2 linked regions of the Bombyx mori genome follow. The protein of the gene in region 1 interacts with the protein of each later gene in a biochemical or structural test. Links are inferred from orthologs where the notes say so. Each region holds a gene or a part of one and is shown on either strand. Other genes may lie near its edges. The genes, in order: serine/threonine-protein kinase Warts and MOB kinase activator-like 1.

Region 1 (15,422 bases):
CTTACGGAATAAAAAGTGACTAAGAAAGATTTCATTGAAACTAAAAATGCTGATAACGCTTAGAAATGCAATTTTGCGTACTACGAATTGTATTAAAATGTTACATGCGAAATGTATGTCTACGGCCGTTCCAAAGGTGAGTAAGAACTAATTTAAACAATACTGTGCAATATTTAATTTTGCTCATAAATGTTATTATGATAATCATATTATTTGATTATTGTTTGTGAAGCCAATTAGGTGATATATTATTGTCATAATTCGCATTTAAGTAAAAGTATTTAGTAACACTTTAAATCATATCTTATTAGTTATTTATAAACATTTTATTCATAACCAAATAAAATATTAAGGAAATGTTCTAGGAGGAGAAAGTTAAAGTATCTGGGTGCAATATAAACTATGTCAAAGTTGGTAAAGGATCTCACAATTTAATTTGTTTACCTGGAGCCCTTGGAACTATCTGGACCGATTATAAACCTCAAATTGAAGGAATAGACAAAAATGATTTTACATTAGTGGCATGGGATCCACCAGGCTATGGTAAAAGTCGACCTCCTATGAAGCAGTTTGATGTTGACTTCTATGAAAAGGATGCTGACTATGCTTTTAATTTTATGAAGGTAAACAACAGTGAAGGATAAACTGCCTTTATAAAAAACTCAATAACGAAATACAAAGAAGTCTTAAAATATTGACAAGTATAAGTTTCCAGATATTCAATTCTGAAAATTTTTGATCCAGCTCTTCTGTCAAGTAATACTCTCTAGAATCAAACCCAAACAGTTTCCCACAATCGGAAAAATGTGATGTAGTTGAAATGATCAAAGTGTAGCAACAAAAGACTGGTTAAAATCTTCATATTATTTTAGGCACTAAATATTCCCAAATATTCAATCTTAGGGTGGAGTGATGGAGGCATAACAGGGATAATACATGCAGCAAAATATCCTGAAACTGTACAAAAACTAGTGATATGGGGAAGTAATTCATTTATGTTACCTCATGAATTAGAAATGCTTAAAAGTAAGTTGGTTAAGTAAAATTATGATTTAATTTTGTGAGACTGTTTATTTTTATTAATCCCACTGTTCATATCTACATACTTTGCAACCAAAATGAAAAGAACATTTTGATGGTTAGATTTCTTGGTTGACCTGGAAATTAATCTAACATTGTCCCCAATCACCCATCTTTCATAAATTGGACAAATCTTAACAGAGGTTACCACACCTTCGTGTATTTCTAAGAGTAACTGGGTTACAGATTATATACTTATAAATACACTATGATATTATATATTGATGGGAATAAGTGGGGTGGTGAAGGCAATGCTTCCAAACCCACTGTTTCTATCCAGACTAGACAGATTTGAAAATTAAAAAGATGTCCAAAATGTGTCCATTGAAAAAATTATGCCAATTTTTTTAACAAATTATGTTATAAATATTGCATTTTTCACCTTTTTCCTGTTTCCAATATGTTTGTACCTAAAACAATTCAATAATTTTTAATTGACCAATTTTTTAATTTTGAAATTATCTTTATATTTCAGAGATAAAAGATATTAAATTGTGGTCAAAGAAAATGAGACAACCAATGATTGATGTGTATGGTGAAGAACTATTTGCAAAATACTGGAGTAAATGGGTTGAAGGCATGGAAAATCTTTTCAATAAGAAAGATGGCAATATATGTTCGGAATTACTGAAGGATGTCAAATGCCCTACCCTTATACTGTATGGAGAAAAAGATCCTTTGGTGGACAGAGTTCATGTATCGCATTTGCATACTCATATTGAAGGATCACGGTAATTATTTTATTAATATGCTCACAGATTGCCAGTTTTATTTATTTTTATTGCATGGATGGGTGGACGAGCTCACAGCCCACCTGGTGTTAAGTGCTTACCAGAGCCCATAAACATATAACGTAAATGCCGCCACCCACCTTGAGGTATGAGTTCTATGATGTCAATATAGTTACAATGGCTGCCCCACCCTTCTCAGTTAGTGGATATCATAGCACATAATGTCACAACACAACCTAATTAATTTGTCACTCAATTTAAACAAGAGACCAAGACTTAATTACATTTAGAAACTTACCATTTATCATTAAAAGTTTTCACACAAAATGTCATGCATTAAGGCTTATTCTCACTTTATTATTATTGGTTCTATTAATTTTATTTCAGTGTTATAGATTAAATGATATGCTCATTCTGGTTAATAAATCGAAATCACTTTTCATATTATTACTGCGGTTAAGTAATTTTATCTATTCGAAACCCCAAAAAAAATTTTTTTTTTTCTTTATTCATAATATTATTCTTTATTTATTTTGTCCATAGTAGACCATGTTGGACCTAATGTAAGTTTTACTAGTTGATGGGATAATATGTTAGATATTTATTGAACGCACTGTATTTATTTTTGTTTGCAGAATACATTTGTACCCCGATGGGAAGCACAATATCCACATAAGTTATGCAGAAGATTTCAATAAAAAAGTTCAAGACTTCCTTCAATCACCCTAATAATAAGAATAAAATTATTTTTGGTATTCAAATCTGAAGGGCCAAACGAAAAAATATAACAAAAAATCCCATATTTTATTTTTCATTTACTTCTTATAAGCATGTTTCATTCCAGAATGAAACAATTTACATTTGATAACACATAATTTAAAGTTTTTGTAATGACTCGTTTGCATTTTACTGTACAAAGGGAGAATATTTAGTGTTGCCAAAAAACAATTACTGATGATAAATATTTTGCTAATACATTCGTAAATTGAATATTGTTAGTGTAAACATAAATAACTTAAAGTTGCACGTTTTAATACTAGCATTTGACTGAAATGTGCTCATAGTATCCGTTTGACAAACTAAAAATCTTCGAAAACGAAGATAACAAGAGTTCAAGTTGTGTTAAATAAATACGTATTGCACTCTTTACACGTTGCCGAGCTGACTGCTAATAAAGTCGTACAAACATTTACTTCCCCTAAATACACTTTCAATATACAATTCTTCAATACTAAGGCACACAATATGAGCTAGTGTCCAACAGACAAATGGAAGCACAGTACAACTTTACGCCGATTCCAGTTTGATTATTTATAACGACTTTATAAGTTACAATTATATAAACAAACACACATTTTAAGCGACCTAACATGATAAATACATAAGAAAATATAATGACACTATCAAAAACATTTGCTAGATCAAATAAGCTTTTCCTTATTTCATAAATAATTTCTCTAGTTACAAAAATACAGTATACAAGTGAATGAAACGATATTAGAACGAAGCACATTCACGGCCCCGTCAACAGCACCATCAAGAATTATGCACTACTACGATCCATCCGTATATATTACACTCGTATAATATTACCCTTACGAACTGATAACGATACAATATTACAACATTATCACCGGGATTATTAACATTTTTTTTATTTATTAAATACGTTATATTCGTTACGTTTACAAAACTTACTAGTGTTTTAATAGAGAGAGTCAAAGGCACACACTTTGTAAAAATATAATCCTATGAGTTAGTCCGATTGTCTATTTGCACAGTTGATATCACACGTACACAGGTCCTTGATTGTCATTGTCATCCAAATTGATTTTGCTCGTATAGCCATCATCAAAGAATCTTCTGAATGTGAACTCAAAGAAACCATGGAAAGTCTTGCCATTGTCTAATAGTTCACTGTCTGATTTATTTGAATCTGAACTACCAGAGTTCCTGAGCTTATCTGGATCAATGGGGTCGAAGTTGGATGTGTCTGTAGGGTATTCAATCCTCGGGATGTAAGGAGCAACCTGATTCCTCAATCCTTTGTCAAAATCGATGCCCTTGAGGAAGGGATGGTTTTTTACTTCATTGGCATCTTTGCCAAGCCTTGTGTCTTGACCAGAACATAGCTGCAGAATGAGGTCTTTGCTCTCTGGGGATAAGTTGGCTGCATCAGGTACGTGTAGTGTACTCTCCCAATTGATCACCTGAAAGTTAATAAATAGAGAATTTAGATAAATTTTTTAATGTTTTTTTTTTCAGAGCAGCCCTCTTAATGATTTAATCAATTGTTGGAAAACACAAAAATCACATTGAGAATGTCATTAAAATAAAAGCAATATCAGTGTAGACTATGGTCTATTTTACTAGATCTTAACAAACAGCTTATCAAATTGTACTCTATTTTGTATCTATCATAGAACATATCATAAAGTTGTGTGTTACCTTGAGTTGCGTCTCTGCGGGGGTCGGCGCCAGGAACGGCGGCGACCCAACCAACATCTCGTACAATATAACTCCAACCGACCACCAATCGCAAAGCTGCGTGTATCCAGTCCGCTGCAAGACTTCAGGCGCAATATAGTTTGGGGTTCCCACTAACGAATGGGCCAAACACCGCTGGTGTTCTCTTCTCCGCCGCCTTTCTAAGGGTTTGAGTTGATAACATCGACATTCGCCCATAGCCCCCCATTCTCCATCCACTGGATCCATTGAGTCTTGTCGTCCATGATCTGAATACAAAAAAAAAATGTAACACCAAATCAATCTCTAAAACACTGCATAAATTTTACAAAAAACTGTCTCATACCATTCCTTTGATAATATTTGGAGTTGTGCGTCCATCTAAAACCGGTGCATAGACCAAAATCTGTTAACTTTATATGACCATCACGATCTATCAATATGTTATCTGGCTTGATGTCTCTGTGGATAAAACCCATTTTGTGCACGCTTTCGACAGCACACGTCAACTCTGCAATGTAGAACCTAGCGAGATTCTCCTCGAATATTCCTAATTTTATTAATAAGGACATAAGGTCCCCGCCCGGTATATAGTCCATTACAAAATACAGATTATCTTTATCTTGGAAACTGTAATAAAGCTTGACGACCCATTCGTTGTCTGCCTCCGCCAATATGTCTCTTTCGGCTTTTACGTGTGCCACTTGATTTCTCTTTAGCACGTCAGCTTTCCGAAGTGTCTTCATGGCATACAGATGACTAGTATCGATCTTTTTCACCAACGTCACCTCCCCAAATGCTCCCACACCTATAGGCTTAATCTTAGTAAACATAGACTTGTCCATCTTGGCCCTTTTCAATCGAATATAATTGGATTCCTTCTGGGACAGCATCTTTCTCATCTGACACTGAGCTTCTGCACTTAGACCTATTTTACTCATCTCCTTTTCGAGTTGCATCCTTCTGAACAGTCTCTGTTTATAAGATTTCAAAACGTTTTCCACATGCTGTTCCATAAAAAATTTGAAAGCTTGCGGTGAATAATTTCGGACTTTACAATCTCTTCTCTCGTCTTCTTTTTCTTTACTGTAATTTCTGCGTTCCGGTATTGGCGATTGATGCCTTATCTTATCTAACATTTTTGGTCGTCTGTCCGATGATCCGTTAGAGCCTTTGTCGGAGCCGGAGGCCGTGACGTTGTCTTTTAAGAGATTATTCGTACAGTTCTGGTTGGGACACTTAATTTCGTGCGGCCCTTGTGACGATTCAGGTTTACCGTCACAGTTATTCGAAATTTTCTTATGTAAAGGAGAATGGTGGGAATTAACAGTAGTCGTGTTGTCGGCTTGGTTACCGTACGGAGGCGGCGGGACGGGGTGCATGCCGCGTTGAACGGCGAGCACTTGCATCGTGATCGCATAACTTGGTGGCTCCGTGGTCGGGACGGCGGGAGGAATCGCAGTAGGTGTGGAGCCAGGAGACGACGGCTTCGGTGCCGACGGGTAGCTGGGCGGAGTCTGTGCCTGCTTCTGTTGGATGGAGCTCGCGTACGAAGGAGGGGGTGGGGGTGCTCCGGCACTGGTGGCTGGCGGTGGGGCAACCGGTGCTATCGCCGTTTGTAGTACCGGTTTCTGAACTTGTGTGCTTTTCACAGACTGCATGATGATAGGAGGCTGCACCGCTTGTCTCGCGGTCCACGCCTGGAGCGGCGTGGGGCGAGTCATTCCCGCGGCTGAACCAGTCGATTGCGTTACCGTAATTGGACTCGGCGAGCCGGCGGAGGTGCCTCCTGAATAGATCCCCGAAGATGGACTCTTCCTGTAATCCTGCGACTGGGTTGGGCTTTGACGATTTTGGATAGAGACCGAGTAGGGAGGAGGTGGCGGCGCACCCGACATCGGATACGGCGGTGGAAGTTCGCCGCCGCCACCCGTTTGATAGATACTGAGAGCTTGTATCTGCTGCGTAAGCTGCTGTTGCACTTGAGGTCCATTTTGTACAATCATGGGTTGTCTGGCAGGCGGCGTGGGTGCCGCGGCCGCCACGGGACTGGTGCCCCGCGCCGGTGGTAGAGGTGGCGCCGGCGACATGCGCTTGAGCAGTTGCTGCACGGAAGGCAGCACCGGCGGCGTGGACGGACATCGCGGCGGCGGAGGTGGCGGTGGTTCTGAGAAACCTGAAGGCGAATACTGTCGCGATAGCTTCTCGTGTGGTAGCGGCGGTGGCTCCGATTGACGCGGACTATCAGACCGGGAGCTACCAGCACCTGAATCAAGTGCAGGACTACCACGATGTAGATTTATCTCTCTCTCTAGACTAGGTTTCCGGATAAGTTTGGTGCCAAGAGCACTCAAGTTACTGCTTTTGAGGACGCCGTTGAGAGGTTCTTGCTGTTTCGACAAATAATCGAGAGCTGCATCAAAACGCCCTCCTGCATATTTGAGTGCCCTCACAGCTGGGTCCTGAAATGATTTTTTCTAAATAATATACTCATTATTCAAAAACAGAAGCAAAACAAGATAATGAAATTTTACCAAATTGATTATAATCTAAGTACACCGTGAATATCTCTTCTGACGGTGAGTGGTTACTAGAGCCAATAGACATCACAGCGTATATGCGCCGTCATCCATCTCGAGACAAGAGGTCTAATTTTTCAATTGTATAGTATATTAACTGTCCTGCCCTTCTAATTAGAGCATATTACTGCTTGACAGTAAAATTCGGTAGGGTGGTGTGCCCCACCCTGCAGCGGCAGGTACAAACCATCCATCTAATAATAAAAAATTCGGGCAGGGGGCTTAGGGGGCGCGTAGAGTATGTGGGTGTTGATGGTCCGTAGACATTGGGAGAGAACCGCAGGTCCAAGAACGTTTAGGGCCCTACCTACCAAAAGACTCTCCTTGCACTCTCTCCCCCAACGCCCGATCTTCGTCTGGGTCCAGTGCCCGAGCAGAGTAAGGGCAGAGTAACATTATAAATTAACAACCAACATTCGATCAATGGATAGTTGACGACCAACAAACCTAGTCTCTGTGTGGTAATATAATAATAATGGCATGGCAAAACTAGTATACCGAACTTCTTATGTAGATCTTGCTTGGAGTTTTTATTGTAATTTTGTTGTAGATTGTAATATAATTATTATCTTGCTGACTTATAAACTTTACATAGACAAACTATGTGAATATAATTCCTATTTTACCTCATTCTAATACTATTATATATGTTGAAAAAAGGATTTATTTGAGTACACAGTAATGTAATTTTTCGCCTGGGAAATTTATGAGAACAATTGTGAAAACTAAAAATTAAATTGATATTGGAGATCTTGAAAACTTCCTGCTATCAGTCACCGATGATACTAATAGCTAGAAGATACATATAATCCAAGACGGTAGAAAAAAAAGCATGTGTAGAATAATTTTAAAAAAATCTTTTTTTATCATTAATATTAGATTTTATTATTTTAGGCTTTATAACTAAGCCTATAGATCACAATAGGGGTTTTAAAAAATCTGAACACGAAGCTGAATTCAAAAATGCATTAAAATATTTGACAGCCTGCCCTTTAAACCAGAATACATGGTTAAAGTGTTAGGTATAGACAGAATATTGGTATATGACCATATTTATTCTCAAGACAATATGCATTTACAACATGCACAATACAATAATGAAAATAAAAATTAAAATCTTGTGTTTTTGTATTGTGAATAAATTACTTCTCAATTTAATTCTGGTCAACATTATATCCAAGAACACAACCTTAAGCATTCATTTTATAACTGTTATGACTATAAATTTGATTCAATTTAAATTATGTTTAACATGATTGTTGAAAATGAAAACAAACTACCACTGGTTTCATGATTGCCTATTCCTCATTCCACTGCAACCAGGCAATATGCAAGTAATTAGCTTGTACTTATAGTGTTTATGTTTAATTAAAATTTCTCAGTTATTGCAAATAACAATAACTTAAGTTTTACTCAAACCTGGTTAAAGATTGTCCTTAGCCTTGGTATTAATGAAAATGGACATTAATCACCAATAAATACTGATAATATCGGCCATACACTGCCTTCTACATTAAAAGTTGATAGTCTTTCTTATTATATTTTAATTGTATTATAAATTCCATGTATTTTTATATGTATATTTCTTCTGTGCGTGTGTTTGTCACTGAACTCCTCCTAAACGGCTGGACCGATATTAATGAAATTTTCTGTGTATCTTCAGGTGGATTTGAGAATGGTTTAGATTTATAAAGCAACCCGGCACTGCAGTCGGTATCTTTCCTAGAAATATTTTTATGGCAAAACAATGCCAGCCAGTTTTTTTATAAAAATTAAAGATAATGGAATAATGACACTAAAAAAACACTAATCATATCTGTTATTTAGAAACACTTTTAGCAATTCATTATAACTAAACTCACCTCATCATAACCCAAGGCAATAAGTTGGTTCAAGGATTGAGGTAGCACATTCAAGTCTTTATCGAGTCCATTTCCCGAAGAAGAACTAAACCCCGAACTCACTCCTGAACTAACTGTGCTAGCAGCTGATGAACCTGGCGGTTCAGAGTTTCCAATGTTCGCAAAGGGAAGCAATGAGTTTCTGATTTCGGCAAGCGCCTTCTGGTGGTATCCGGAGCGCGTAGCCGTTTTGCCGGGCGCCGGCGGGTTCATGGCGCCCGCGCCCGCGCCCGTGCGCCTCACCTCTCACCCCACGCCTCCCATCACATGAGCACACCCCACACCCTGTACATATCCTTGTTTATTATCCTCCGCACCATTTATTCAACACTCTAATTAAGACTCGCAGCACTGTCACTGTCTTTATTATCGAATTTATTTCGTTTATATATCGATTTCCTCACTAGTCAGTCTGTATCAACATTGCTTTTTGTGTAGCAGCGTGAAAGGTACTTTCTTTTAACTGAAAAATATTTTTAAATATTAGTACCTAATCAATTGAGAATTCCTCTTGCTTTAGATCCCTTAAATTTTATGTGATAATAAAATAATGAGTTAAATAAGTTAGATGAGAAAAGTTTGACATCTTGGCAACAGGATAGGGATATGATTTGTCGACTTTATACAGAACCTGTTTACAGTATCAGACAATTCGAGTACACAATTTTTAACAGTATCGCATTCTATCCAAGAGTACGAGGATGTAAGGAATGTCTAATGCGAATCAATCATGACATAGACTTGTGGAATTCCAAAATTAGAGGGAGCTCGGAAAGCAATGTTTCGTTCATTCAAGGCACTAAGAAGAATAATTAATTACTGTAATTCATTACCAGGCACTTTTTCACTTTCTGTAAATCCGTATTATATGCACAAATGTCATAATCCCATAAAATGAAATTCAGTTCGATCGACAGCTCTCACATTGCCGATGACATCTTTCTTGCACACTTAGTTTTGATTAGTCGCATTAATTTTTATACGGAAGAGGCAATCTGGAGTCGATAGAGTTGTGCTTTAAAGCGAGAGTTTCTAAGGAAATATGAAAACAAAGGACTCTAAAACACAGACATGCAAGTTGGCAAACCATACAAAGCGACCATTTTGAAGAATTACCACATTCTTTAGTGTGTTCGGATACACAGAAGATTAAATTCCATTTTGTTTGACGACTCTTTTTCGTAAAAAAGAACCCAGCTAAAGCACTCATCTGCTTACTAATGTAGGAATTTCTCTATTAAAAGTAATAATCAGACCTTTAAAAAAACACTTCTACAGAATTGTCGAAATGAAACTGTATCCGAATAATAAGAAAGTCACAGGCATGGAGTAAGTACCTAGTCACAGGACTCACAGCAAAAATCCTAACTGCAAAAATTCTAAAGAAAAAAAAAAGAGTATAACGGTCTAATTCTAAGACTGTTAAATTAAGAAATTTCTATCTGCTATTGCCTAATTCATTTTCTTCATAACAAGGTGACACTCTACAAAACATGCATACGTTCCATTGTGAAATAGGCTTGGAGTTAATAAGGAAATAGGTAAGTGTAGTGTTCGCTCACGCGTCCCGTTCACACATGAACTCTCTCCAGGTTATCCAATCCCATTTCTGCAAAATAGCCTTCGGAGCACCGTGGTACGTAAGAACTAATTAGTTTCTATCAGTAAAAACCTTATGGAAGCGTCGGAACGCTATTTTGATAAAGCGGCGTGCCATTACCTTTCCGCTTCTCATTACATATCCGACCCAGGCAACAGGGCAACCTAAAGCCGCCGTAGCCATTAACATATTCTTTCCGATCTTTCAGGTCCACTTTCAAAGATTCTTCTGTCGTTCGCTGTGCACGTTACTCTCTGCTGTGCTCGACGTATGAAATAGCTCATAGACACCACCCACTGAGATCTCGCCGGATCTTCACGGAGGGCTGTGATTCCGATCCTGTGTTAAATTCAACCAAGTACATCTCTACCTGAGGCCAGTGCTAGGAATTTTTTTAGGTTGTTGCTGTTGTCAAGTTGTGACTTTTTTATTTTTTTATTTACTGTTTCATCAGGTTTAGTATGTTATGACGGTGGTTTATTAACATTTTAGTATCTCTGAAAGTACACAAGGGTGGTTAAACGAAACAAAATAGTTGGATATTGCTTTTTGAATTCTTCCAAAGTCCATTGATCTTATCTTGTCATCCTTAACCTCCGAACTACCTATTATAATAGGCGGCGTGCGGCAAAATACAAACACCACAAAGCAACCAACGGTGGTATCCTTGGCGTCGTATCTCGCGAAAGTGTTGCAGGTCCCCGGTTAGGTGGTGAACAAATATGGCCAACGGTTCGCCCTTATTGGTGTTTGACGGCGATATATGCCGCGGCTTTCTTGTTGCGGTTCAAAGTCAACAGTTCAAAGAAGATCGTCGCAAATATTAACTCGTGCAGCGAGCATGAGAGGAAAGTATAAATAATACACATAATATCAGGAGAGCACAGATGAATATATTAGTTGGAGGAGAGTACAAAAGTTATGTGTATTATCTATGAGTACAACATTAAACGGACAATAAGTACGGCCTGTGTTCCAGCTGCGCCAGAACAATCCCGCACCGTGCCGGCTCCCTTAAGATTTTGTTTAATTCCAACCATTTTACTAATTATTTCATTGGTATGGTATTGTTTTATCTCAGTTCAGTTAATCCACATATCCTTCTTCAAACGAGGCTTGTGCAGAGTACTTAACGGCGAGAATACTTAACGGTAGGCAGCAGCTTGGCTCTGCCCCTGGCATTGCTGAAGTCCATGGGCGACGGTAATCACTCACTATCAGGTAGACCGTATGCTCGTCTGCCTATAAGGACAATAAAAAAGATATCTAATTTAATTTTTGATTCAATTTTTTATCAATCTATATCAGTTGACTTTCCACACAACAGACATAGATTCACCTTTGTTATAGAATATTACTGTGTATGTTATATGTGCTACGTTCCCTGTGCTGCCAATAGACAAACCAAACGAAAAAGTTTGAAGTGCTGTGCAGCAAAGCAAAATTTATCCAACAAATACGAAATTATTTGTTGTTTTAGATTTAACCTATTAGCTACTTAACTAATGAGAAGGAGAAAAGATATAAATGAAAACAACCTAAAAAAGTTACCTCAATTCACAGAGGCATTGTTTAGAAATATATTCCTTCACCACAATGAAGATATTACCATATCTATTTGTATTTCCGTATCTTGTAGCTCCTGAACAGAGTTCTGTTTACGAATACAATCCCAGTAATTTCAAATTCCAGATCGAAGAAATGGATGGAAACTTTATTATGTTTTACGCGCCATGGTGAGAACAATAATTGAATTTACATTATTCCTTTCAGTGATTAAATTCAAAACAATCTACATATTCATTTATTTATGATAAAAATTATACTAAATATTGAATCGAAACGATTTTATAAATAAACTTAATCTAATTTTCTTTAGTTGACCGAAATGTAAATGGTATACCGTAGTGACATCGATGAGGCCTATTGTGTGTGAACCTCTAATAGAAATTGAAAATACGAAGATCACAGCCAAGCTTCCGTTCAAAACAAAAGATTTGAATGCCCTCAATAAAAACGAACTGATGTGGGTAGTGGTGAAAAAGATCCTTCATACTTATTGACTAAACTACAAAGTTAGATGAGCATTTTTACAAAAAGGCTGACGACTGATTCAATGAGGGTAATTCACGATATAAAATTAAAAAAGTTGTTAACCATCCACAACTAAAGATGTGTTCCAAGAGAGTTTCAATAAAATACTGTTTGAAATTACCATAATATCTATATTTTTTACCATTACGGTACTATACCATTTACAGAAATTATATGTTTTAAGGTGTAGACATTGCACAGAATTTTATCCGATATGGTCAGAATTGGCAGAGCTGGTTAATACCAAGGACTCCAAATTTGCCATTGCCCAAGTTGACTGCACAGTGCATGCTAAGCTTTGTCATGAAAATGAAATAACAGGTACTTAAGTAAGCATACACATAATTTCCTTGTTTTTAAGTATGTACATAATAGAATTTTTTTTTAAAATAGGTACACTAGTTGATGGTGTAAATAAATTTGAAAAAAATTACAGGTTATCCAACATTATTTTATTTCCACAAAAATACATTTACACCAGTTGAATACAAAGGAACAAGGGACTTACCATCATTGACATTGTTTCTGAGCGAAGCCTTCTCTGTCAAAACAGAGGTGAGTAGTAGAACCATTTTGTCACTGTTGCTCAGAATTAAAAAAAATCATTCTTCATAATTCATTGCAAAAGTAGGTCAATGGGATTAAATTCTAGCCTACAAACATCACAAGATTAATGCCATTAGCCATAATCAGATATGAGGTTAAATACCAATGAGATTTATACTTAATTTAGACCATTTTGATGAATGGATATAAATGGAAGTTCTGTGTCAAAATTTATTAATAATATCACTTTATTATAATTTTTTCTGACTGACCTATCTTCATAGACTACAACATAAGAATGTGACTGAATATAAAATATAATATATATAAACCTGTATCCAATTTATTATTTCAGGGCAAACAATCAAAACAACCAAATGAAGTTAAAACATACAGCGGCATGTCCTATCTGAATGACCTGAATATTGAGAAGTTTGTGTCAAAAGGACAGCATTTCATCATGTTTTTTGTACCTTGGTGTCGTGCATCTCAGGTAATCCCAAACCTATAAAAAAATGATGTGGTACATTTTTCTATTGTAGAAATGAATGTTTCTACCATCAATGATGGGGATGATAAATTTTGACTTTGGTATGCAATGTCTGGCAAAAACTGTAGCACCAACTTACAAAAAAAATGTAGTGTATATCTATAAAGCAAAGCTTTGATATAAAGTTTTCAAGATTGGTTGCTATCATATAGACTAACTGGCTGGATACTATTTCAGTGACATGAGCCAATAAGGGTACAGTAGAGTTCTGAGAGAGATGCATGTACGTTTTAGCAAACCCCAGTACCAGCAGTGCTGGAGCCTCTGAATGGTGTTGAAGCTTTGCTAAGATGGCAGAAAGTAGAGGCCAATCAGTTATAGTAACTAAACTCTTGCATTGGATAAGATGGGCTGTAGAGGAAATACTCTTTTTTTCGCTTTGCCACTTCATTCTGCATTATCATGGTGTAACAGCAGAATAGCATTTGGGACCAAATTTTGTGTCAAATTAGGCCATTCTAGGAGAGCAAAAGATTTCATCTCTGGATTGAGGTCAATACACTACAAAACTGCTTTATTAGGGTTGGTGCACTATTTTTCTATTTCACAGCTCACATAAATCACTCGATCAGTTTTCAACTTTTTCATGCAGTCAATTACAACCATGATGCTCACTTATCAGTCAGTGACCATACCATCAGCACCAAGATGATGACCTTGATGGATCCCAGATCACAGCAAATAGAACAGCCAGTTTCCATTGTTATTTCTAGAATAAGGTTCATAAATATGTTTGCCAGAATGCAGAAGTACGACAATGATGTAACACACCACATTTATATTGAATTTTCAGAGGATGGCACCGATTTGGGCAGACTTAGCAGTACATTACGCTCACAACAACTACATAAAAATTGGAAAAGTTAATTGTATGGATAATGAGATAACATGCGAAAATTTTGAAGTCAAACAGTACCCCTATTTACTCTGGATTGTTAATGGAAAAATTGTGAGTATATAACAAGTTTCTAATGATTAAATTTATCTGAATAGATAATTTTTATTTATTTTCACTTCATAGTGGCACATGTTTTATTTCTGAGGATGAGGCAACCGTGTTGAGAGATGTGACTGTGCCAGTGCTCAAATGCCACAAGCAAGTACTAATTTTTCTAATGATGTAGTTCTTACCACATTTGATTAACTACCATAATGAAATATTAACATTGTGTACTAAAAATTATAATTTGCGCAATTACTGGTGGCAGGTGTGTCTCCTGAGCATGCACAGGTAGGTTTTACGATTCAGCTAATTTCTGCCGCGAACTCTTAATGCGTTACGATTTGAAGGGTGAGAAGCCTAGACAAGCTTTGTGGGCAAGGCTTGACTCTGCGCCTGTCATTGCTGAAGTCCAAGGGCGACGGTAACCACTCACAATCAGGTGGGCCGTACGTACATCTGCCTGTAAGGACAATAAAAAAAATACTATAACTGAATACACTTGATACTTAGACCTCATGTCTCAAGATGACCATTCGCATTGTGATGGCTTTAGATCCGGTGATTATTGAACGCCAGGCGAGCCGTGAGCTCAAGTCACCCAATAAAATTGCAAAAAAACACTTTGTAAATGCTATTTATTAAATTTTAGTCCTTTTTGTGTACTATCAAGAGAACAAATTAAAACACTGGAATATAAACTAAAGAACACTCTGTACTTTAATGGATTTTAATAAAGTCTAATAGATCCTCAAAGATAATATAGCCTATATCATATAAAGAAATAAGTTTACTTCTACTATTACTTTCTTCTACAGATGGGTGCTTCGAATGGGGAAAACTTAGACGATTTGAAAGCATTTGTTGAAAAAATGTTGCTTTCTGAAAATCACGATCCAGAGAAATTTCTAAGAAAAAAGAAAGCACTTCCTGTG
Region 2 (16,529 bases), about 13 Mb from region 1:
TTTATGAAATTAATTCTTTTGTATTGAATATTTATAAGTCCTTTTTATTATGTTATAGTCGCATGTAGTTTCATCATAATAATATAATTTGCATTTTAAAATTGAAATATTTTATTATTTAATCAGTATAATGGGAAATTAATGGTTTCAATTATTTCGCTTTAAAAGATTTATTGTTATTTTAACAAGCAATCAGTCAGGGTTTTGGAGGGTACTAAATAAAAAAGGATTATGAAAGAGGCAATAAATTCAAAACATCAGTGCAGTACAATATTCTTATTCTCAAAAGTTATATGAAAAGCGAACTAATATTTATGTATAATGTAGACAAAGATGAGTTTAAAAAAAGCAATATATTTATCGCGCATAATAAACATTTATTTAACAGGCAAAGGAATCTAATAATAAATGGCCACGAATATCGATTTCTTGATTTATACAAATATGTAGTTCTGTGACGATTAACCGTCATTTGTTGTTCTCGTCTTAACGCAAAAATGTAGATTCTTGTGCTAATAATCTGTGCGGCTAAACAATCGAAACATACATACAGAGTAAAACATGATCCTTAAAACGTGTGTTCTCTAAAAGATTCGAACCTAAGAAAACTCTCAGCTCGTTCGCACCAATTATTTGTTAGTTCGAGACAAGATCGCAATTTGAAGCAAGCTTACAAAAGAAGTAGGTAATGAAAGTCTTTGAGATTTTTTAAACTATCGGAGAGTAATGTTTCAGCCTTTCGGAGACTATAGTTTTCGTTCCTTTGAAAAAGTTATATATTTTTAATAAAATCATAATAATAATTGGTCGATTTGAAATCGAATTAAAAATCGATTCTTGTTTATGGAAATGAAGCGTTGTGATAATCAGAATATGATTTGCAGAAACCTCCTAATGGGTATTTGGTACATCATTTTTATTCGCAATCAAATAAAAATATACGCTTATCTTTATTTCATGACCACATAATCTTATTACATAATATTTACATTATTTTAAAATATAATGATTTAATAGTTACAAAAGGTCTGTAGTAGGAGTTAGTTTATTTGCATTCGTGCCTATCTCGTATTGAATTTAATTATATAAATAATATTTATAGTTTTCCATTCATTCATTGTATTTGAATGTTTTTTTTAAATAAAATGTAACGTTCGTAAATTTTGTTTTATTATTCGACCCCTCATTCTGTTTTTCCATGAGTGTAGTAGTATGTAGTATTTTAGTTTTTATTGAAAATTAAGTTTATAGATTGTCGGGACCCGACTGGTGTTAAGTGGTTAACGATGCACAGCCTGGATGATGATACCATCACTATGATGTTTTCTGACCACTTGGACATGTCTTTCAAATGGAATTTGAAGTTCTGTATGGGCTTACTCTAGCCACTTCAGTTCAGAAGCTATAGAACCTATGGTTACCATTTATTAAGCTAGCATGTATAATTAAGGTCGCGGTAACTTTTAATGCGATTAACTTTAGTTACCGCGCTTTTAACCGTGGTTCTGTAAAACAACTACGCATTTGATGTAACAAAAAAAAGAAATTTAATAGTATGTTTAAATAAAACTCATTCGATTATCACATTATTGCTATTTATTTAACTTAATACAACTAAAATTCTCGTAATACAACTGATCAATATTAGAAAAACAGTTTAGTATTTGGGGGCAGGAGATTCCTCCTTAGAGTAGTCTCTGATGGGAGAATAGAACTGTGGAGAAAAAAAATCTTATTATTTTTAGTTGATTTGTACATTTTGGGGAATGAGAATTATAAAGGCTACTACTGGGTAACAATGGTTTGTTTGCTTTTATACATCTTTATTTCAGCCACAGATAGGACTGTTGCAAGAAAACTTAATGTTAAAACTGCATCAGTAGTCTTTCTAAAATACAAGTAACAGGGAAGTATAACAAGTCTAACAATGAATAAAATTAATATTAAGAGTAGGTAGGTAGGGGGTATGTATAATAGTGATAATGTAGATCATTGTGTATATAAGCCGCGCCAATAAAGAAACGAATCTAAAATGGCGGCGGCAATCATGCACTCTCACTCTAAACTATTGCTGTCTTTAGGCAACGGCACATACTGAATGCAAAAAAAATATCAGTTCTGATTGGAAATAATATGGCCTCTCACAAACGAGGAAAAGTCCTTCACAGTGATGCAAGTGAAATCATGTGTAACGTTATTAAATACTTTGAAGAGGAAAATAATCTCGAGAAATTAAAGAAAGGAAATTCTCATTTGTTTTTTATATTTTTTTACAATAAACAAGTTTTTCTTTCTATCTTTCTTTTTATTTGTTGACCCTACTATCTGTCAGTGCAGGTACATAGACGCCATTTTCGATTCGTTTCTTTATTGACGCGGCTTCTAATTTTTTATATTTTTTAAGCTTACCCACAATCCATATACAAGATGTATTGAACTTAAATGTCAACGGATTTGTTATATAATCCCTGTTAGATTTATGATAAATATAAGGAAAAAAATAATCAACAATTATATAACAAAAATCATTCTCCGGTTTGTCTGATTTGCAAAATGTTTTAATGACTCAAATTCATATGACAAGCAAGGATAACTTCAGCTTTTAAACTTTCTCGAAAAGATTAAAATAAAAGGAAGAAAGCTGTTAAATAAATATTGTTGTAGTAAATAGTTACTCTTAAAGTGTTTCCACACTAAGGATGGAATGGTTATTATTTCAGAATAATTATCACTTACACCCCTGGTTTAGCTTTTAAATGATTTAACAAATGATAAATATAATATAATAATTGATTTTAATAATTTAAATGATACAAGTACTTTCATACCTTGTACTGCTTGTTCCTGTAAGCCTCCCATGGTTCAGGGTTGGTCTTCTTGTTCCAAGATACATCAGGATTACGCAAAGCCAGACGCAGAGTATAGAACACAGCTCCACCACATCCTATCCCCACACATACATACAGAGGGATCAACTGCAATTATTAATTATTATTAATATTTGTGGAGTAACAAATCCTTCTTTGTTAAAAATGTTTTAGGTAATAATTTGAACATTGATGGAACATTCTTATCAAAGATAAATCATAGTTATTCATTTTTCATTCAATAATAATTGTCAAAATTTGATGTTATTAATACACAATTATTTTGCTTTCTGATCAATTTTGGTATCTGTCTAATCAGAACTGTCTACTGCATTTCAAATAATCAAATACCTACTCTATATATTTATCACCATTTTAATTTTATATAAAACCTTACTGAAGTGTCCCTATAGTTTTTATAAGTTTTGTGTAGGTAATAAAACATATTATGTGATTTTAAAAATTGAATAGTTTTCTTCATACAATCAAATAGAAGAACAATGTCATGATAGTTGACAATAAGCTCTAATTTATGATAAAAATGTTATCATATTTTACATATTTAAATAAAATAAATCGCCAAAGGTTGCAATATTTGAATGTTTCAAAGTAATTGTATTTCTTGCTTTATTTACCAAAGTGTTTTGATTATTTCATGTTACAATTATCTATACATTAATTACCCAAGGGCCGCCATCCTGACTTATTAGCCTACCGTATTTCTATACACATTTAAGTTTAAGATCTTTTTTTGTTTAAAGCTTACTCCAACTAATGACTTGTAAGCGTACGAAGTGTCTTTGGCTCAACTTCGAAATTATACACCTAGAAAACGAATAAATGTATTAAGAATGAAATATTTTGTTATCTCTACTTAAAATTAAATTGCAAAATAGGTTAGATTATGTAAGAAGTGCAAGTGAAACGCACAATCTTCTGGAGTGCGAACAACCAGTTAAACTTACAGCCTTATGCTTCTTCAAACTTGAGAGGCTCAGTCCTTGCATTTTGAATTACTTAATTGCGTTGTAAATTAGAAAAAACTGTCCACAAACTGAATATTGCTGTCGATATCGATATCGATTGCAGGTATTATACAGGGATACTCTGCCAAGATTTAAATGTCAAACTGACTTTGACAGCCGATAAATTATTGCTTAAGTCCAACGGTTTCAGCGAAATGAGGTGGAATGAAAAAAATAATTTAATAAATAATACACATAATAGGTAGAATTCACTGAGGCAATAACTACTAACTTATATCCTTAAATTTCTGACAAATAGTCTACAGTACTCAAAATCCTGTCTCTTTCTGCAGCAAAGCAGTAAAAGTTAGACAGTAGTTACACATTAAACATATAATATGTATATTAATCAGACTTCGACCTCATGTCTCAAGGTCTGTAGTGCCATTTCCTTTTGAGATGTCCATGGGCTTTGGTAACAACTTTACGCCAGGTGGGTCAAGTGCTCGTTCAGTCGAAGTTATAAAAAACAAATAAACTTTCTAGCACCGTGCATAGATATTAAATGTGGGGACGTACAGGAAAATTTCTGCTTTCAATTCATAGTCGATTTTAAATGGATTGATTAAAATAGATACAATATCTAAGAATTATACTAGCTATTTTCTAAATTTTGGTTTTAAATTTATTCTCAGTTTCAGCTTACACAAGTTATTAACTTTAGTACCAAATTGCTGTATCCGACTTACAGTTTTATCTGTTTAAATACTACGCCTGTAAAACGATAGATAACTGCCTATATTTAAACCACTATTGATACAAGCACCATGTAATTGTCAAATAGATGTACATGCATGCGATAGAGGCGAATAATTCGATAGTATTCTGTCTCATTCTCTCGTAGGTTAAATACTTTAAAAGTAAATGTTTGTCTTTTTTAAGTGTCGCTTCTTTGAATTTCAAATAAAGTAGGTTGCTGTTGCTGTAGGATGTGTTTGACATTTTGAATATTCGATTATGAATTTGGAATCGATTGATCGACTAAACCCACCAAAGAATAATGGGGAACTGCAATCTGCATGGAACTTGAAATAATGCAATGAACTTTTGACAAATGTTTTGTATTCAATTTGTGAACAAGTGAATTGAAATATTCTTTGTAATAAAATAACCTATCTATATAAATTGGTGCTAAATTTGTGATTAATTTATTGTTTAGATAAGGAAGGAAATACAAAACGGTCAAAATGAGCTTCCTATTGTGAGTATTACGGAGTCAATAATGCTCTAACCGGATCTATTTTTAACTGATCGTCTTCCGCTGAGAAAAGCGCTGACGTCTTGTTTACGTCTACGCTATAATCTCAGTAGCCATGAGTTAAATATGATGTCTTAATGTATGCGATTTCGGCGCCCCCGCAGGGCCTCGGCCTACTCAGATACAGATGTCGAAAAACTACCGCCCGCTCTATCCTGTCTCTCAGTATTGAACCTTCAAAACCTACTAAAACACCTTCAAGAATTAGTTTACTTTTTATTACAGTGGTAGTCGCTCAAACAAAACTTTCAAACCAAAGAAGAATATTCCTGAGGGCACCCATCAGTACGATTTGATGAGGCACGCAGCAGCCACACTTGGTTCCGGGAACTTGCGCCTCGCTGTTATGTTACCCGAAGGGGAGGACCTCAATGAGTGGGTTGCCGTGAACAGTGAGTGGATTATCCAATTACATTCTAAGTAAATTTTGAAGGAGGCTGGCTAACTTGAACGCTTGCACGCCACACAACCAGAATGAAAATATGATAAATATTTACCAAAGTCATTTAGTTATTTGTTGTTGAGTTACATTCAAATGTAGAATAATTTATTGAATATCTTTGGTGTACATAGTAAGAATAGAGTGACACTTCTGCCTTTGAAAGTAGGGTAAGAAACTAAATCTTCAATTCTAAAGGGATAAAAATATTTCTGATTATTTTAATTGGAGCACATGATATTATTACACAATTACAGAATATTAAAAAGTATTAGTCTTTAGTAAATTACTTTTTATCACATCAGAATCAATACGTTGGTTTCATTCCTTTTAATAATATTATGAGGGTTAGAAAGTTGTACTTTCCTCCTAAGGTCAATAATATGTGATTACTTAATGTAGTGCAAAAAATAACTAAATTCAAGGGGCTAGGATGGGGCTGTAGATGTATTTGTTGGGATTGAGAAGGGATTTTTTCTGCCACATTTGTAATGAGACTTATTAAAAAAAATATTTTTGATTGACATATTAACTTCATTATCAAGCAAAGTATAAAAAATCAAACATGAATTTCAAATGAGCCTTTTAATTACTGTATTGCCCCTTCCCATAAAAAGCTTGAGACTATAGAACCAGAATCTCTGGTTGCTATTAAAGTAGGTAGGTCGAAAAAACGAAAAGATGACCATTCTTAATTGCTGCATGTCACGACAAAGGAGGATTGTTTTTAAAACATAGCATTGAATAGAGCATTGTGTCATTATTGTAGGTAGCAGATGATTCATTATGATAAATAAATTTACTTCTATATTGTGCCACTTATAATTTTACATGTTTCCTGTTGATGTCAATAATAATTGATAAGTTTACTGTGTATTTTATGTGTAATGTTTTAATTGAAATATAGTCAGACAGATTTTTATTAGACCTACATAGTAGTTACTTTGAATTCAAGTATTTTCATTCAGGCCACAGTGCGCACTGGTGTGCCTTATCTTGCTGAACCGTTTGGGCCATGAGGGTGAGCCACGTGAGAAACGCTTCCTACAAGCCACAGATTGCAGCTATCAAACAAAACGCTCATGGAAACTGTGTGGCCCTTCAGCCAAACTGAATGCCTTGGTTTTCAAATGCAATAGCAAGTTGTAGTTTTTATCAAGATTGTAGCCTTTTAAAATATTTTAAAATTAGAAGGTATATATAGGTTGCTAATTTTTATCATCCATGCAAAATATAGCATTTTATAAATTTTAGAAGGAAAAGTTGATTAAAATTACTTATTCCCTGATTTTGGCTTTACGAGATTGGTATAGTACGTTAGGCCCACATGGCGTTTATCATGTTAAGTGACTACCAGAGCTCACAGACACCAAGTCATTGCTGCTGATCCCACGATGATGTGAGCTCAATGTTTTAATAGGATCCATAAGAAATGTCCCATCTTTTATAGCAAAATACATTATTGTAGTGCTGCAGAAAGGTAGGATGGTAGTACCTAGGTGCTTTCACAAAAAACCATCAATAAGATTAAGGAGAAATTACAGTTGGCTCGCAGGATGATTTTCAGAAGAAAGGGTTAGTTGTGAATAGCATAATTATACTACTACAGGTCTCGTGAGTGCAGGTGTAGTAGTAGACAGAGGTTGCTAGTTTCCTTCCGACCGTAACTGGAATACCTTTGGCTACCAAAGCTATACTGTTGTCATTGTGGAATCCAGTGACTTAAAAGACTAAAATAAAATTAGTTTACTACTACTACTGAGCTGGCGCTATGACCCCGAAGTGGGTCTTGGCCTCCGATTTATCGGATCGTTTCTGTTTTCTTGTCGGTTTCGTAACAAAAGTTTTTTTACATGAAGGGGTTGTCAGCCCCTTGCATAACCCCCGAAATGCAGGAGGACCACACCCTACTTTGGTCAGCGAGCCCATCGGACTTAGCTTAATTAGTTTACATATCTAGAAATACAAATATTTAATAATAAAATTAAGAATAACAAAAAGACATACTTCCCCAGCTGTGGATTTCTTCAATCAGATCAACATGTTATATGGGACCATAACAGAATTCTGCACAGAGGAGTCATGTGCTGTCATGTCTGCCGGACCAAAATATGAATACCATTGGGCTGACGGACACACAGTGAAGAAACCTATCAAGTGTTCGGCCCCAAAGTATATAGATTATTTGATGACGTGGGCACAGGATCAGCTTGATGACGAAACCCTGTTCCCTTCGAAAATTGGTAAGAAATATGTACATAATATAATGATTAAATTGTAAGGTTTTTCGGAGAGGACGAGGTGTGTGAATCAGTTGAGTGTCTGTTGTGTGTTGTCCCCCGGAAACCTCACCGGAGCGGTCAATAAAACATTACTTATAAGTACATGTTTATTCGCGTCAGCGATCGCGGTGGATCGCTGCACGTTAACCACTGACTGACTAACATCTATTGCTCATTACTATAACTGCATAGTAAGCTAAGCCGGGCGAACTTCACTGCAGTAGACTCATTGTGTCTACTATACTTGAAACTGTACTATGAACCAGCACAATGGCTTCAGTTAATGTACGGGACCTCTGCATTAATCACCAGTTACCTAACATTTGAAAGATGATTTTGTTTGCTTGATACGTTTACGGGTGGTAGGACGTAATGTGAGTCCGCACGGGTAGGTACCACCACCCTACCTATTTCTGCCGTGAAGCAGTAATGTGTTTCGGTTTGAAGGGTGGGGCAGCTGTTGTACTGTAAAAAGTGACACCTTAAAAAACATATCTCAAAGTGAGTGGTGTCATTTACGTTGTAGATGTCTATGGGCTCCAGTAACCACTTAACACCAAGTGGGCTGTGAGCTCAACCACCCATGTAAGCAACAAAAAAAATAGGAGATAAAAGAGCATACCTTTAATGATGAGTAACAAAATGGCTATTATTTTTTAAGGTGTGCCATTCCCGAAGAGTTTCCTACTGATGGCAAAAACTATATTGAAGCGTTTGTTCCGCGTGTACGCGCACATCTACCACCAGCACTTCCCGGAGGTGGTGCAGCTGGGGGAAGAGGCTCACCTCAATACGTCATTCAAACATTTTATATTCTTTGTACAGGTAATCTTTCTTAACACTACCATAAATTATGTATGCAGTTAGGCTAAATTTTAATAAGCATAATTAATTAACAAGATAATTATGCAAATTCAGAGTATCATCAGATTAGTTATTGCGTTATTATGAACTCGCACGGACAGACACCAACACTCAGCCTGTTGCTAAGTAATATACAGTCCGGTTTTAGACACATTGTTGTTTTGTAGACTTCAGAAATGGTTGAAAAAAGTGGTGATTAAATTTTTTCTTTTGTCTGTTTGCCTACCTAAGCTGATAGCCTTGAGAGGCTATATCAGCTTTTCCCTAGCGTGTAGGTGAACTCTCGGGGCTCAAACCGGAGTGTTGCTAACACTGGCCCTAGCAAGAGCAGTGCTTCGCAGAATCTACCACTAAATCGAAAACGCGACCCACTGAGAATGACTATGGGTTAATTTACTCGTCAAGCCCTTCCTCGCAAGCAACGGATTCGGCGAGGAAGATAACCGGTGCTTGAAGTAACTAAAAGCACCGTTAATGTATCGGGAGACTGCTTACCAATCGGTCCACGTCGCTCTAAACACGTCATTACGGATCTACCTGTAATGACGTGTCACCCATAGACACAGCCCACTGAGCTTCTTGCCGGATATTCTTCTCAGTTTTACCTCTGATAGAACCTTAACAAATAAACTTCCACTACCATTAGTGTTGTACCTTTCAGGAGTTTAATCTGATCGAGCGCAAAGAGTTAGCGCCCTTACAGGAGCTCATCGACAAACTGACAGCGAAGGACGCGCGATGAGCGTCGCCCGCCAGCCAACACACCCGGCCTAACCTACTCAGGTTGTAAAGATATTTTTGTACTATCTAGTCGGCCTTGATAATAACATTGACAACACACAGATCTGTAAATCAATTTTTTTTTTATATTAGTGTGTGATATATTCATAATTTTTAAGCATAAACTAATGTAGTATTTTTTTTGTCATCGGCCGATAATTTAAGTTATTCTTAAATTTAATTATAATGTAGTTTGATTTTAATTATTAGTCTTATTGTATGTAAGCTCCAACAGATTCAAGTTATATATTTGACCCTCCGGAGAGACCTCCGGTCCAGAGATACTGTCAGCCCACTAAACAAATTTAACTTTTCTAATAGCACTATCATTGAATCAATGTAAATATTTTTATAATTTATTTTCTAATTAAGATACTGAATCTTCTGAATAAACAAAAAAATTGAGATCTGTCGTTGTGCATGCATCACACAGAAACTTCTATGTACAGATATCAAACGCTTAGTGCTTATTTAGAAAACAAAAAAACTAATTCATTTATTTATTTATTTTATTTAATATATTTTGTACGCACAGCTGTTAGAAAAAACACGACAATACGGAAACAGAGTACAAGGGCATTCAATTTAAATTTATTAAAGTTTTTAGAAACGGTGCTCTCGCGGCTGTCCTGAATAGATGGCGTTCGTAGCTTTCTGAATCGCGCTGTGCTTATGTTTTAATAAATGAGGCCGTCAGCTCAGAAGTGGCCTAAGCTGTTAGTATGGCGGCAATTAGGTTTGAATTTTCATGAATTTGAATTTGAGTAGGCATAAAAACAATACACGCAAAATTAATGTTTAAAAAGCTATCTGTTATCTATGGGTGAAACTATGGACAGGCCAGTTTTACAATAAAATTTATTATATTTTAAATAAATTCCAATACACGTCATATAAGCTTGAATATAAAAAATTGAGGGTTAGGCCACTTTTGCGCTGATGGCCTCAAATATAAAATGCATTTTCAAATAATCACGTATCTTCGGGATATGCGCGGATTGAGCTAAATCTAGTTCCTCATAAAAATACAATCGTATTATAGACTCAGTAAATAAAACATCCGCGTAAAGTTCTTTATTATAATTCCGTTTATATATTATTGATTATTTAATTTTTAAATGGCTCTCCTGTAATGTTGCAAAAACTTTCACTCCTCGATATATGTACACAACGGTAGTGTCCCTTTCTCCGCGCGAGGTTTGATCATCGTATACAAAGACCGAGTTAACTAGTAAGAATTCTAATTGAAATCAAACTACAGTATATTGAAATGCTTATAAATATTACATTACGCGTATTAAATTTGATTTTGTTTATTACAACCCAAAAATGTTCATTAAATAGAAAGAATTGCAAAACAATTTTATCGGGATCTAATCGCGCCAAATAACCTTCCATTATCTTAAAGCCACAATAGATACGAGAAATGGGCATTTGATAATTCGTATAAATAATTATTATCACATTTCTTGGGTTTTTTGTCTCCATAATATTACTTTGTGTCTGTTGCGTTTGGGTATTATGTGCATTTTGTCATTCCTTGTATTTAGTAACCCAAGTATGACGTATTCAATAATGACAGTTCCGAACGTTTTAACGGGAAACTTGAAAATAATCAAATATGTCCGCTACCTATAATTTTTATGTAAATTATGCTGGTTTTAAATTTAAAAACAGTTACTACCGACAATATTATTTAAAAAACATCGCTATAAGCGCTAAATACCGTCCACCATACTAACTAATTTAGAAATGAGTTCTTACTTTTCTAAAATCGCCATTTATTTTATAAAATAAGGGCCTTGTGTATCAAATCTCTCTCCGCTTTCTAAGAACTTTTTATGTAAATAATGTTCTGAAAAAAATATCCTAAATTTACACAAAGATAAAATAAAATACCTTGATTATTGTTATTGAAATATTTATTGAATATTTTGTTGAAAATGAACTGAAAATTTGCCGCGATTACATCCTCACTTGGGAAACATTTCAAATCGTATTAAAGATTTCTAATAAATGACAAATACAGTGCGGGCTTGCGTTGCTAAGATATGCAGCGTGCAATGGAGACAATAAAGAAGCGCTTATATTATTAAATGAATACTTTTGTGATTTGGATTAGTCGTATTGGTTTTTTTATGTGAAAGATTTCGAATACTTCTAAATACCGTGGTCGTTGTGGTATAGTAATTGCAAAACTTGACTTGATGTCACAAATGATGGTGTGACATCCAAAGCTTTAAATCTTTATGAACTAGTAAATGAATCAATTATTTTGTTTGCATTATTTTTATTTAACAATAAATAGAATATTTTGTGCAGGTATGTATTTCTTCTAATAAAAACATATTATTATGATAGTAAGTTACTAGTTTCTAATCACAGAATGGTACTAAACATATTTATTTACTTTGACTAACGTATTATCGTATGATGAATTTATTTAAACAATTTATTTGATTAATGATTAAGGTTAAATTGTCCTTTGTCAAGTTCAATTCCTATTGGTATCAGATAATATTAAATTTTTGAACTATAACTAATTCTGACATTATATTTATTTCTTGTTGAATCTATTTAAATTTAATTTTTATCTTCATTTATTTATATTTACAGTTCGTTTTGTGAATCCCACTGTTCCGTAATGAAATAAATAACATAAGTGATATAGTTTTGATTTCCGTCTTTATTTGAATAGTATTTTTTAAACTAAGATTATTTCTGTTTGCGGACTGCTAAGTGTCATGCCGATATTTTCATCGGACTTAACTTGCTTTGCACGAGCGCATGGTGCGCAGTTCGGTCCGTGGTCCGCACCATTCGTACTAAGGTCGCACTTACGACGTAACTACCTTTGAACTAGTGAAACGCCGTGTATACGGGGTCGGATAGTTTGCGGCTGAACAGCAAATACGCTACTATTAGCCACATATGACGTCATGCGTTGACTATATATTACATAGATGTAAAATACTGTTGAAGTTAAACGATTTATTTAGTGATTTGTAATTTTAAATGATTAACTTGGACAAAAATGTAATCGACTGATCGTATTTGTTTAATGAGCGTCCTTTTAACATTACTACTTTTCAGACCTTTTTGTTCAACCTATGTAAATTTTTTTTCTTATCAAATCATACATATCAATATTGCTTCCAATATATTCAAGTTGGAAGCATTTAAATTTTATAAATGCCTAATCGAAACTTTGTACCTACTAGGGCGCGCTTGAGGCCTTTAGATATGCAGCCGCCATACGGGGCGCGTTGGACCCAAAGCGGGCGATCCGATGTTTTTTATTTATTGCTTTTGTTAGCAGATGAGCATACGGCACACGGAGCTAAGTAGTTACTGTCGCTAATGGACGTAAACAAAGTCAGGGGCAGGGCCAAGCTGCTAACTACAATTGCCTTTGCCATACACGCTCATTAGATAAGTTCAGTACTAATGCTTAGTTAGGTAAATTAGACTTTCCGTCATAGTTTATGTACGTATGGGGCTCGACAATGGCGACAGCATAATGCGTGTAATGTTGACAGGCGACTTGACCTCCCATAGACCGATCTACAGTCTGCCGGGCGATGTATAGATTTCCTTCGAAACCCGTATTCATACTGAGGCGATGTCGCCCTAAAAGTTCAATGGCACAAGTATTCAATAAATAAATTTGAAAAATATCACAAAATTATGTACTTAATTAATTTTCATTTTGACACATTACACCTTCAGAATTAGTGTTGTTTTTTTTTGTAAATGCCAAAAATGCAATTGAAGAATTGTAAATTTTTAATTTTGGTTTTTAAATACGTTAAATATTATGAATTTTGAAATACTTTAAGCGCATAGGTACCTTAAAAGTTAAGATATACGCTTGATTTAAAAGAGGAGGAAAGTGTACTTTGTCTTTTTCTAATTAAAATTTAAAATTAAATTTTTTATTTGCCCATTTTAATTTTATAAACTGTCAAAATACATGTTTATGAAAATCATTTCCTTAAAATTTTTAGTTAAGCCACTTCAACTCTAAAGGTGCGACATATCACAAAAAATATGTACAACACGCAATGTATAATAGCCGGCAAACTTCTTGAGCATTTGTTGACGTAGTGGGGGTAAGTTCGCGCATGGTACACTCACGTGCAAAAACATTACTTACTCTGCGTCATAATGCTATTAAATTATTAAAATTAACATATGTATTTATTTATATATTTATTAGAACATCAACAAAACATATAGGTTATAATAATTGTAATAATTTAATCTTGGGGTAAAATAGATATTCCTTCTATTAAGTCAAAACTAGAGCTGTTGCCAGGTCTTGATTCAGTTGAAGCGAAGCTGGTATTTGTAATTTTTTTTTCGTTATCATAATCTTGACCATCATCATCATCACTGTTTTCATCACCCGAGTCGCTATCATCGTGATTAGTCGACATAGTGTAGTTTACAACTCGGTCGATTCGGTCTTCTTTTTTGTCTATAATTAATTATTTTTTGAAGATATTCGATTCGTAGTAATCGAATGCTACTTTTTTCAATTACCAGCTTCCGATTATTTTCTGTTCTTTTTTTTCATCTAAAGCCTAGCTCTTTCATAATACGTCGTAAGCTTCATTCCGAGCCATTAAAATTAAACTTTTCGAAGCCTTTCTACGGTACGGAGTTTCGCTGCTTGTTATGTAGTTATTATGATTACATCTTTTTATTACAGATTGAACGAAACTATCCATTCCGGTAACTTTCTTCTTCCCTGATCTTTTCTTACCCGGAGTCCGAAACACGGCGAGCAAGCCAGAGCCTTTAGCTTCCTTAATAATGCACCTAACAGTACTCACTGATGGTTTTGTTACTTCCGAAGTTTGTTTTAATTTTTCCATATCATTCTTCCCCTGTTTTATAATGAAGCAATATACGTCGTACACAATTTTTCTACCCTTTCTTTTGAATACTACACCGGTTTGTCGCGGCATAGTGTATGTTTTATAAAAAATCAACAAACACTCAACAAATAGCAATGGCAACAAAGTCCACAAGTAATTATAACAAATAACTTAACGATTAATAACGATAGACTTTCCACTGTACGCAAGCGTACTTTTGAGAGCAAGCGGAATGAGGGCGCAGTGCGGGACGCAAGGTTCAACTGATCTACCAATAACGCGCTCGAAACGATTTCCCCTGCCGTCGCGCCTCACCCTCACCACCAAAGTGATCTAAAATTCGGTTCTGCGCAGTCAAGGTCATTTGCTCACGAAGTTTGCCGGTTACTATAACTTAATTTCAAATCAGCTGACGCGCAGAACAGGCTACAAAGTGTTCACGAAATCTATCGTCAGTTTGTTTTAAGGGCCTGTGCACACCACGTTTTTTAAACGCGTCGTCGACGCGCGTTTTTAGCGATACACACGCGATACGCACGCGAGTCAGAGGAAGCCTGTAGACCTTTACACACCTGTATAAATCCAAATACGCGTTTGTATCGATACAGACGACAACAAACCGCTTTGTGTTTAAAAAAATGTGGTATGCACAGGCCCTAAGTAGTACGATGTAACAATTCTGTCTTTAAAGGACGGTGCTCTTATGCTGTATATTCAATTGAGTGCTACGCGTTTACCAATTATTATTATTAGTCTAATAAAAAATGTCAGACCCTCTGACTCAAAATTAGATTTAGTTCTCAAATAATACGGCCCGCTGCGAAACGTCGAGAACAAATGTTCAACTAATACGCAAAAATGCAAAAACCCATTACTGACTACGACTGTAAGTTTTTGCGCGCTTTATTTTTGAACGCAATAAATAAGTAATTTAAAAATCTAAACGAAATATTGCCTTCTTAAGCTATAAGAATTATATAGATGTGATTTATCTTTTGTAACGATTGTAGCTTTGATATGAAAATTATAGTTTATAAACATACTTGTATTGACGAAGTGAGGATTGTTTGCCCTTATTTATTCGATTGTGTGAAATTATGACTTCAATTTGAAATGAATACACAATAAAAACACATTTAATGTTTTTCATTGCTCCCATTACCTGTTTTGGGGTTTATAAGCATTATTAATTGTCAATTTAATATTTATTGGTAGATACATCATTGATGATATCGAAGGGTTTAAAGCTATTTGCTTTAAGCGACATTTCGCTTAACACGCGACATTTATCTTTGTAATTAAAGATGCGTTTTATTTGGTATTAGCATCAACAGTTCGATGTTTTTAATTGAACTTCAATTAACTTTACTCCATTCAGATAGCTGAAGAAGTTTTATATTTTTACTAAATTTTAAACTTTAAATGGCTCTCCTGTAAAGTAGCATATATAGCTTATACCAAATAAAAATTTCTGCAAGTAACGAATGACAATAGTCATGCGTGACCAATAAAATAATGAAAATTTCCAAATCTCTGAAATAATAAACGAGGTTAAACTGTGTTAACCTAAATTATGATTTAATGTATAAGCCGACGGATATCCTATCACAACTTATTGCAATTTATGCTGTTTCAAATTGTGTATGTACATTGAATAAGTTTTATGTATATTGCGATATGACGTCACTGTATTTAACTATAATGATCTAATTGTACTTTCAACGACAGCCCTTATTGTTATGATTTCTTTTTTCTATATAATAAATGAGTTTAGGACAAATTCAACTAAGTGCATGAAACAAATTTATCCCACGCCGCTGACTCATGAATTTAAAACTTATAATTTTACTGTTTTAAAATTATCATGATTTATAGTTCTTCGCCATTTTCACAATAATATATGTTATAAGAATTGCAGAAATTAAGTTTGAGAATTATGATCACCTCAGTCAGTTAAAAAAAAGTTGCTTTATTTCAAATTGAAGTCCGAGAAATAAATTTGTGCAATAAAATTATTTCCGATAATTTATTTTCATCTCGATGTAATTCGCTAAAATAATAATTATTAATTGATAATGATATTTTGTGCATTTAATTTTGTGTTATGAGTTAATATTACATTTAACACAAG

What was found.
Region 2: of the proteins of serine/threonine-protein kinase Warts (region 1) and MOB kinase activator-like 1, one has a biochemical effect on the other in vitro, tested with the Drosophila melanogaster proteins (2 studies listed by BioGRID). The link is inferred for Bombyx mori from reciprocal best matches to the Drosophila melanogaster genes wts and mats.

What each region holds. Positions count from the first base shown.
Region 1 is NC_085112.1:13,707,000-13,722,421, reverse strand, and holds serine/threonine-protein kinase Warts, read right to left. Parts: upstream 9,882-15,422; 5' UTR 9,591-9,881; exon of another isoform or gene 9,558-9,590; intron 9,248-9,557; exon of another isoform or gene 9,221-9,247; 5' UTR 8,971-9,220; coding exon 8,719-8,970; intron 6,740-8,718; coding exon 4,624-6,739; intron 4,547-4,623; coding exon 4,260-4,546; intron 4,022-4,259; coding exon 3,599-4,021; 3' UTR 2,595-3,598; downstream 1-2,594. Other genes in the region: bphl-like protein, read left to right, coding at 47-136, 366-623, 873-1,026, 1,556-1,811, 2,447-2,540; thioredoxin domain-containing protein 5 homolog, read left to right, coding at 11,954-12,093, 12,636-12,772, 12,888-13,006, 13,353-13,490, 14,341-14,496, 15,306-15,422. UniProt on the Drosophila melanogaster protein: Negative regulator of Yorkie (Yki) in the Hippo/SWH (Sav/Wts/Hpo) signaling pathway that plays a pivotal role in organ size control and tumor suppression by restricting proliferation and promoting apoptosis.
Region 2 is NC_085112.1:815,288-831,816, reverse strand, and holds the start of MOB kinase activator-like 1, read left to right. Parts: upstream 1-4,899; 5' UTR 4,900-5,079; coding exon 5,080-5,093; intron 5,094-5,375; coding exon 5,376-5,542; intron 5,543-7,604; coding exon 7,605-7,832; intron 7,833-8,532; coding exon 8,533-8,696; intron 8,697-9,396; coding exon 9,397-9,477; 3' UTR 9,478-16,529. Other genes in the region: cytochrome c oxidase subunit NDUFA4, read right to left, coding at 1,658-1,714, 2,829-2,975, 3,833-3,874. UniProt on the Drosophila melanogaster protein: Coactivator of Warts (Wts) kinase in the Hippo/SWH (Sav/Wts/Hpo)signaling pathway, a signaling pathway that plays a pivotal role in organ size control and tumor suppression by restricting proliferation and promoting apoptosis.